2 linked regions of the Coturnix japonica genome follow. The protein of the gene in region 1 purifies or fractionates together with the protein of each later gene. This does not show direct contact. Links are inferred from orthologs where the notes say so. Each region holds a gene or a part of one and is shown on either strand. Other genes may lie near its edges. The genes, in order: PAN2 and PAN3.

Region 1 (3,813 bases):
ATTAAATAAGAAATGGCCCTGACTGTGGGGCAACCCAGAAGGCATCGCTGCTCAACTAGAGCTGCCACCCCAGGAACAGTCACCTACCAATCTCCAAGAGACATTTCTTTGCCTTTGGTGATCTCAAAGCCTCCTCTCTTCATCAGGGCTCTCTGAAAGGCATACTGACAACGAAACACAGGGAAGTGTCAGCATGGAGTGACAGCCAGGGCTCAGGAACACGTGGGTGACAGCCAGGCCAGCAGCAAGGAAAAGACAGAGACTGTAAAGTCAGTGACAGGGAAAAAGACAGCAAGGGAAACCCAGCCGTCCACCAGCTGTGCTGTGCTTGTACTTGGGGAAGCAGGCACTGCCTCGTTGCTCCTAGGTCCTAAGGGGTTGGGGGGAATGAAAACATGACTCTACTGAAGTCCTGTCAGCTTTGTCATGGCAGGAGATCTTGTCTTTTCCAACTCCAAATGCACAGCTCATGCTGCATGCATGACCAAACCCCGACAAGTCCTCTGCAGACAAAGTGTGGTGATGCTTGGGTGGAGAGCAAGAGACTGTTAGAAACAGCAAGATCACAGCGAAAACACTTCTGAAGAATGGGACACGCAGCAAACCCTGTGTGCCAGGGAGGACAAGCCTGTTTCTGCCCCAAAGTGTCTCCCCCACCTCAGCCTGTGTCTTCCAGAAATCTGCTTCCTTGGAGCTGTTCACCTCACAGTTAATGACCAGGACATCTGGAAGGCAGCGGATATTCCTAGTCTGGACCTGTGGAAAGAGGGAGAGATGGAAGGAAGGCAGAACCAAGAGCCCCAGGAATGGCTCAGAACTGGATGCAGCACATGTTATCCTTTTCCCTCTTCCAAAGTCTTTGCCTGCAGTGCTGCCCCCACACCGCCTGCTAGACACAGGGTGTACTATAAGGGAAACTGAGGCAGGAAGCAGACTCATCACACCCCCAAAGCCTTAAAGGCTGCATCAGAACAGGTGTGTTTGCCTCCTGGGGGCTTCCCCCTACCCCAGGGGCTTCAGATGGGATCCATATAACCCACATTCCAGCACTGAGCAGCCCCATCAGGTCATGGAATACACTGCATCACACCAGCTCACAGACCAGCTGAGGAACAGAATCTCCTGCATCCACTCAGAGGGTTCCCTGCTGACTGATGGAGAAACTGCCCCTGCTCAGCCTGAAGCACTCACGTCCCTCTCCCACACCCCCCAGCCCCCCCCTCTGGCTCACCGTGGGCTGATACTTCTCACAGTTCTCACACCAGGCCTGTGTGTTCTGCTCCAAGCAGATGCTTCTCTTTAAAATTTGGGCAAACTCGTAGTCTTTGACTGGTTTTTCTGAAGGGAGAAAGGACAATAACATCACCTTCCAACATACACATCTTTACCAATTTAGCTCAGCCAGACCTCTGGGGTTTTCCTTACAACCACCAGGGAGAAGGTCAACCCCCAAATCTGCTCTCCTGCATCCCAAAGCTCAGCTACTGGACCTGCAACCTGGGATAGATGGCTGCAGGAGTTCCTCAGGTGTCACCTCACAAATAAACCTACATCTATACTCATCCATACAGACAATGAACCCCCCCCACTTAGCTGTCCTGCCCCAAGGGGAAAGCAGTGGGGTGAAACCTACAAGCCCTGCCCATCCCTGTCTGTTACCAGTGCTCTCAGGGTAGGAGAGGGTGAAGAGCAGCGTGGAAGACACGCGGACGGTTTCCTTCCCACAGCGGCACATGCTGCAGTTCTCCACCTCACAGCTGAACAGCTGCCCAATAACAGAATCTCCCGAGGACCCAAAGGTGCTGGAAAGAAAACAAAAGGAATACGTGGGATAGCAGGACCCCAAAAATCCCTGCTGAGCAGGGATGGGGGGTACAGAGGGCCGAGCACACATCTCTGCACACAGGTCTAGACCCAGAAGCAACAGAGGTTCAAACCCCACTACAGGGACAGCTGCAGACATGCATGTTCCCATGCAGACCCCCCCTTTCCTGAGGGACAGATGAGGCATCTGGGAGCCAGACCCCCTCCCTCACTCATTTACTCTCTGTCCTTCCCACAGATCAGGGATTTACCTGCTGCCAGCCCCCCGATACGCCTGCGGTCCCTCCTGCTCCTGGGTCTCCTGGTGCAGCTGAGTAAGGATGAAACGGTTCCAGCTCTGAATCAGTCGCCCCAGGTTCACTTTCCCTGTGGCTTCGTCTGAGTCAGCCAGGATCAGCCCCAGTGCTGAAGCCTCTGGGATTGTGCGGAAAGCCCGCAAGAAGTTGCTTCCCTGGGGATGGAGCAAGAGTGTTATGTCACAACCATCAAATGACAGGAGTTTCCATCTGTCTGATGCCACCTCTTCAGGACACTGCACCACCCTGCTCCTCTGTGATCTCTAACCCACATTACTCTTGCCTCACGTTGTCTGGGCTTGCCACTGACCTGGCAGGGGTCTCCTCGGGATAGATCAAGCATGTGGAAGAGCAAGCCCAGCTCGCAGCCCAGGCAGAACTCCTTCTGGCACAGGTGGTTCTGGACCAGGCAGCGGACAGGCTCCAAAAAATACAGCACCTAGCAGAGACAGAGACATCAGGAGCGGTCCTGTGGCTGTGATGGCCTGGGCAGGGCTGGGCATCACCCACCTGGATCATGCAGTTGCAGTAGGCATTGGGGATATGGGGCTCCAGGCCTGCAAACAGAGTCTTGTTATAATGCTTGAAATCAAAATCTTCCAGCCCCAGTTTGGAGTATTTGATTGTGACCTGAGGAGAGATGCAGTGTGTCAAACAAACGCTCTCCCACACCACAGGGCATCCACAAAGTATCCAGGTCTCCCCATGGGTGCTTGAGCCCATGTGGGTCCTTCAGAAGGTTACCTTCCTGTACTTCTTGGCCACCATGTAGAGGTGAGGTTCCTCCTCCCGCCCAATCGGGGACTCAGGAACTTGGCTGAAGCTGTCAAACTCATTGTCTGCTTCTTTTAACCGATAGGGGATCTGGGAGGGAGAAGAGAAAGGAAGAGCGGCTGAATCCTGAGGTGAAGGACCACGAACCGAAACAAGCGGCTCCTGGGCTTTCCTGCCTCCCCAAATGAGCAAAGGAATAAACCAGAAAGGAGAGGGGCCCTCCCTTAACCTGCATGAGTCCTCCACACCTTCCCTCTTACGAGGGACTTATCACTGTGGGGAAACTACAGCGGTGCTGCGGGCAAGGGCGACCCACAGCAGTGTTTTCCCAAGGGCAGGGACGTGCCATGTCCACAAACCTGCAGGCCAAACAGCTCAAACCTTCCCTGCCAAAGAACAAGTGATCAACGGGACCAGGTACAGCGTCCTCCTGAGAGCTCATACCTGGTTGCGGAGTTTGGTCCTTGGGTTTGGAGCGTAACCAATGAACCCCACTTTCTTCATGGTGCGCAGAATCTCGGGATCTACTGGAGGAGCTCGCCTATAAAACACACTGTGACTCAGAGGCTGCTCTGTTTGGCAGCACTGCTTCATAGAGTGCCTTGCTGGATGTGCTCAAGGACCCAACAGTGGGTCACAAGGGCTCCTCTCATTCAATCATTCCCCCCCCAACCCCCAACAAGAAGCTCAATATTCATTTTCCAGCTACAATAGAATACCAGACAAACACAACACCCAGCTGCCCCCAACCCTGAACAGGAGAGGGTTCTCTTTACACCAGCTTACACTGGGAGAGACTTGCAGATTACCGAGGTGCCGGGGCTGAGTTGGCTGCAGGCCAGTCTGACAACAAGGTCTCACTGGTCAGTGGCACAGGGATGAGTGATAGCGGCACGAGGTCCTGATTCCAATCCAAGTG
Region 2 (3,813 bases), on another chromosome or scaffold:
ATAAAATGCTTGGATATCTTGAGGGCTTTCTGCTTAGTAGCACATCATCTTCTTTAACATCAAAATTGCAGAGGGGTACCTATTCAATTAATTTTCAAATTCCTCATATTTAAAATTCATTTGATAACAGGGAAACATTAGTGATGAAGGCTCTTTCTGAAGGTGTCTCCTAGAGGCTGGTTTTTAGCTGTATGCTACTTCATATTTCCAACCAAGATGGTTGTGATAAAATCTTTACTAGCAAATTCTTTCAGGAGATAGAGGTTGTTACAGGCTAATTTTTATTAATTGAATTGCTATTTAAATGGTTATTAGCTGCACAAAAGATAGATTTCTGGAGGAAAGAGACCTTGTACTTAAAACGTATAAAAGTTTTCTTTTGAAGTTGTGAATCACCTTAGTATGACTTAATAGTCAGTGTTGATTATTACCATAGTAAATGTTTGGTAAGCTGGTGTGATCCTTAAATATGTGAAAAGCATAATACTGTGTGTAAGCAGATGAATGATTGTACTTGATGACCTGTCCCTTGAACTGGCAAAGCTACTGCAAGAATAATGTTTACTTCTGGTGTCCTTGCTCCAAGAAGATCTGTCATTTATTGTGTGCCTCCTTTAAACTTCCTCTGCCTTGAAGCTGAAGAGGCCGAATGAATGAATGAATTTTTCAGTGAGGAAGGTTAAGGTTTAGCAGGAATGTGTAAGTTACTCTCCTTTTAGAAAGGCGGTGTACTCCAATTCCTAGGAAGTTTTTACCTTGTTTGGTGAGATAGAGTTGGTCAGAAGGTGGTAGTTTGATCCCTTATGAAATGGGAATCTGATTTCCGTAAGTTCTCGTGTTTGTTCCACTATCTAGCCAGACACAAGAGGAAAAAAACATTTCAGTTCCTAAAATTAGCTGGATGAATCCAAGCCAGTTTTGCAATCAAAACATAAGTCAAGCACTGGCTGTAGCTTGAATTATGCATCTTTGAGGGTGCATTGGTGTGTTGCATCATCTTTGCCAAGTTTTGTATTAGATGTACTTTGTGAAACAAATGCTAATTTATATTGCAAGTCAAATGGTTTTTAAAAAAAGTGCCTGAATTCAGAATTTCCTGCCTGAAGTTAATGTAGACTTTTTTCTCAAGCACTTTAAAATCAAATGCAATCTGCATTATGAAGGTGTCTGTGCAAAGAAGGATGGTATTTACATAGGTTTAAGTTTTATGTTTTGGGTATATCAGTCAAGGTTGGGTGATAATGAAGAATTTATACATGATACTGCCTCGTCGATTATTAAATGTTGGAAGTTTTTAAGTAGGAGACTTGATAAAAAACAAAATCATTTTAAGATTATTACAAACATTTACTTTCCCTAAATCTTTTGGAAATAAACCTAAAAAACAAACAAAGAAAAAAAAAAAACAGAAAAAAAAAACCACATTATGCTGAGTGAAGATGTATTGGTGCAGATAACTCTTCAGCAATTTGTTTGTTTACTACTATAGCAGTGTCTTCTGCTGCTCAACTTGACTGTACTTGGTAGCGAAAGTAAACAGGATCCCACCAAGATGGGATTTGTTGGTCTCGTTCATTTCTCTTTGCCAAAGTACAAAGCAATGCCAATGCACAGGAATTCTTGGTTACTTAGGAAAGAAAGTCTAGCAAATGCCAGTCCCATCTCCTCCATTTGTTGTCCTTGTTTCTGTTCTGTTTGCCACATCTGGTTTCTGTCTTCATTAGTGAGTGCCCTGTACCATGCTTTTTAACTTCTGTCACATTGCTTATCCATTTAAATTGTGCTGCTTAATCATACTTTAGCAGTTGATACAGAAACAGCAGGGATGTTCATAGACCTGGAAACATGTTCTTTACTTTGTGCCTCAACACCTGGAAGATGTGGCCAAAAGGGAAAGCTCCCTTCAGCTGCTGCAGCCAAAGGAAGAGCAAAGACTGCTACCCCTCTGGGTGGAACAGCTTTGAGGGGCTGTGACACATCCACCATCTCAGCAGTTTCCCAAAGTTTTAGCTCCAGAATTCTGAACAGAACTTTTAATGTTATCTGACTACCAAATTTTTGGCCTTTCTAAAAGAAATGACAGAAGCTCTGTTCCTTGTATGATTATATGTTCTGCCAAACATCGTATCCTTCCTCCAGAATATGGAACTGACATTCACAGTGAATAATAGCGTTCACTTCCTTACTTTTCACAGAAGTATCTTTTCTAAGAAAAAAAGTCAGCAAGTCTCTGTAGCTGATTATTAAATTCAGTCTGAAGAACTCACCCAGTGCAGTTTCAAGTTTGGCCAAGTTATAAGCACTTGAAATACTTTGTATGGGAAGAATTGAGCAGCTTCTGCAATGAATATTACTGTTCCCTACTAAATTGGGGTCCTGCTTTTAGGGTGAGCTTCAAAAGCCTGATGTTGCTTTTCACAATAACTTGTGGTAGCTGTTGCTTAAGTGAGTAAAACTGGCAGAAGTTTCTGTTGCAACTGAATCTGTATAGTGTGTTCATCTTTTAAGAAGAGTTCTACTCTTAAGGAAAATGGTTAGTAATACTAAGGATTTCTTCACAAATGGGGTTCTGTTCCATTTGTTAGCTGCACAGGTCTGTTCCTGTTTAGCTTCTTCAGGCAGTTTTTATCTTTTCACACAGGCCATAAGAGATTAAAATCTTTAAGTTGTTTTATTAAAACAGAAATATTGACCTGCTGGATTCCAGTAGGTCTTGTTTCTGGTTTAACAAATAATCCTTGATAGATATTTTTGTGTCTTGTATCAAGAAGATGTGCAATTTACTATCAGCTACTTGATTCCTCAGGACTGAGTGCATGCGTGGTTAGGAGAACCTCTTCTGTAGAGAGCAGAAGCTCTACAAAGTTTTCACTCTAGTATTATCCTTAAGATAAAGATGGGTAAATTTGAAGCTCTCAAAGATAAATATATTACCCTGAAATTGTTAGGTACTGAAATTCTCCTGTGGATGTTTTAACTACGCGGACAGCTGTATAGCACAGCTGTAACATTTAGTTGTTCAAATTCTTCAAAGGTTACTGAAGAACTGTCTTAAATGCCCTCTAGTACTGTATGTAATATTTATCTGTACTACGAATCTTATCTGTGCATGTTTTCCCTGTTAGCAAACAGATCTGATCTCCCTGGGGAAAGTTGTGTTGGCTTTGGCTTGCAATTCTTTATCAGGAATTCAGAGAGAGAATTTGCAGAAAGCGATGGAACTGGTGACAATCAACTATTCCTCTGATCTGAAGAATCTGATCTTGTAAGTTTGCTAACACACTTGTTTGCTGTTGTTTTTGTTTATTTTCCTGTAAAATGTTATTGAAAACAATGATAACTCTTTTAAATGTACAGTTGACATAACACTTTCAGATGCAAATAAGGATATGGTTTACTCTCATTAACTGATAATGCTTAATAACGTGCTGTCTGTGCAAACATCCAAAGTTAATTCATATGCGTATTTTTACAATGTAACTAATAGAAATCAATGCCCTGTTAAAGCTCCTAATAAAAGTTTATTAATGTTTTAGCAAATATACAAAGCAAGTTTACGTCCCAAAAAGCAACACAACAAAACAAACACAAAACAAAAACAACATAAAAATAAACAACACCCAAGCCTTTTAAGTAATCTTCCATACTGGGATTTATTGCTTATTATTTATCATAGCAGTGTCCTTGTCTTACACCATAGTAATGGAAGGAGTTAAGGAATAGGCATGTTGCTTTTTTGACCAAAGACTTCAGTGCTAGTTTTTCTCAGTTGTATATTATTTTGTGGTGTTCTTGAGTATAGTCAATGTTTCT

The links.
Region 2: the proteins of PAN2 (region 1) and PAN3 purify together in Homo sapiens (co-immunoprecipitation; 5 studies listed by BioGRID and IntAct, with this or other methods). This does not show direct contact. The link is inferred for Coturnix japonica from reciprocal best matches to the Homo sapiens genes PAN2 and PAN3.

What each region holds. Positions count from the first base shown.
Region 1 is NC_029544.1:1,759,823-1,763,635, reverse strand, and holds part of PAN2 (PAN2-PAN3 deadenylation complex catalytic subunit PAN2), read right to left. Parts: coding exon 3,704-3,813; intron 3,436-3,703; coding exon 3,339-3,435; intron 2,985-3,338; coding exon 2,865-2,984; intron 2,751-2,864; coding exon 2,631-2,750; intron 2,560-2,630; coding exon 2,431-2,559; intron 2,276-2,430; coding exon 2,076-2,275; intron 1,803-2,075; coding exon 1,660-1,802; intron 1,339-1,659; coding exon 1,232-1,338; intron 757-1,231; coding exon 658-756; intron 165-657; coding exon 88-164; intron 1-87. UniProt on the Homo sapiens protein: Catalytic subunit of the poly(A)-nuclease (PAN) deadenylation complex, one of two cytoplasmic mRNA deadenylases involved in general and miRNA-mediated mRNA turnover.
Region 2 is NC_029516.1:157,363,829-157,367,641, reverse strand, and holds part of PAN3 (PAN2-PAN3 deadenylation complex subunit PAN3), read left to right. Parts: intron 1-3,125; coding exon 3,126-3,265; intron 3,266-3,813. UniProt on the Homo sapiens protein: Regulatory subunit of the poly(A)-nuclease (PAN) deadenylation complex, one of two cytoplasmic mRNA deadenylases involved in general and miRNA-mediated mRNA turnover.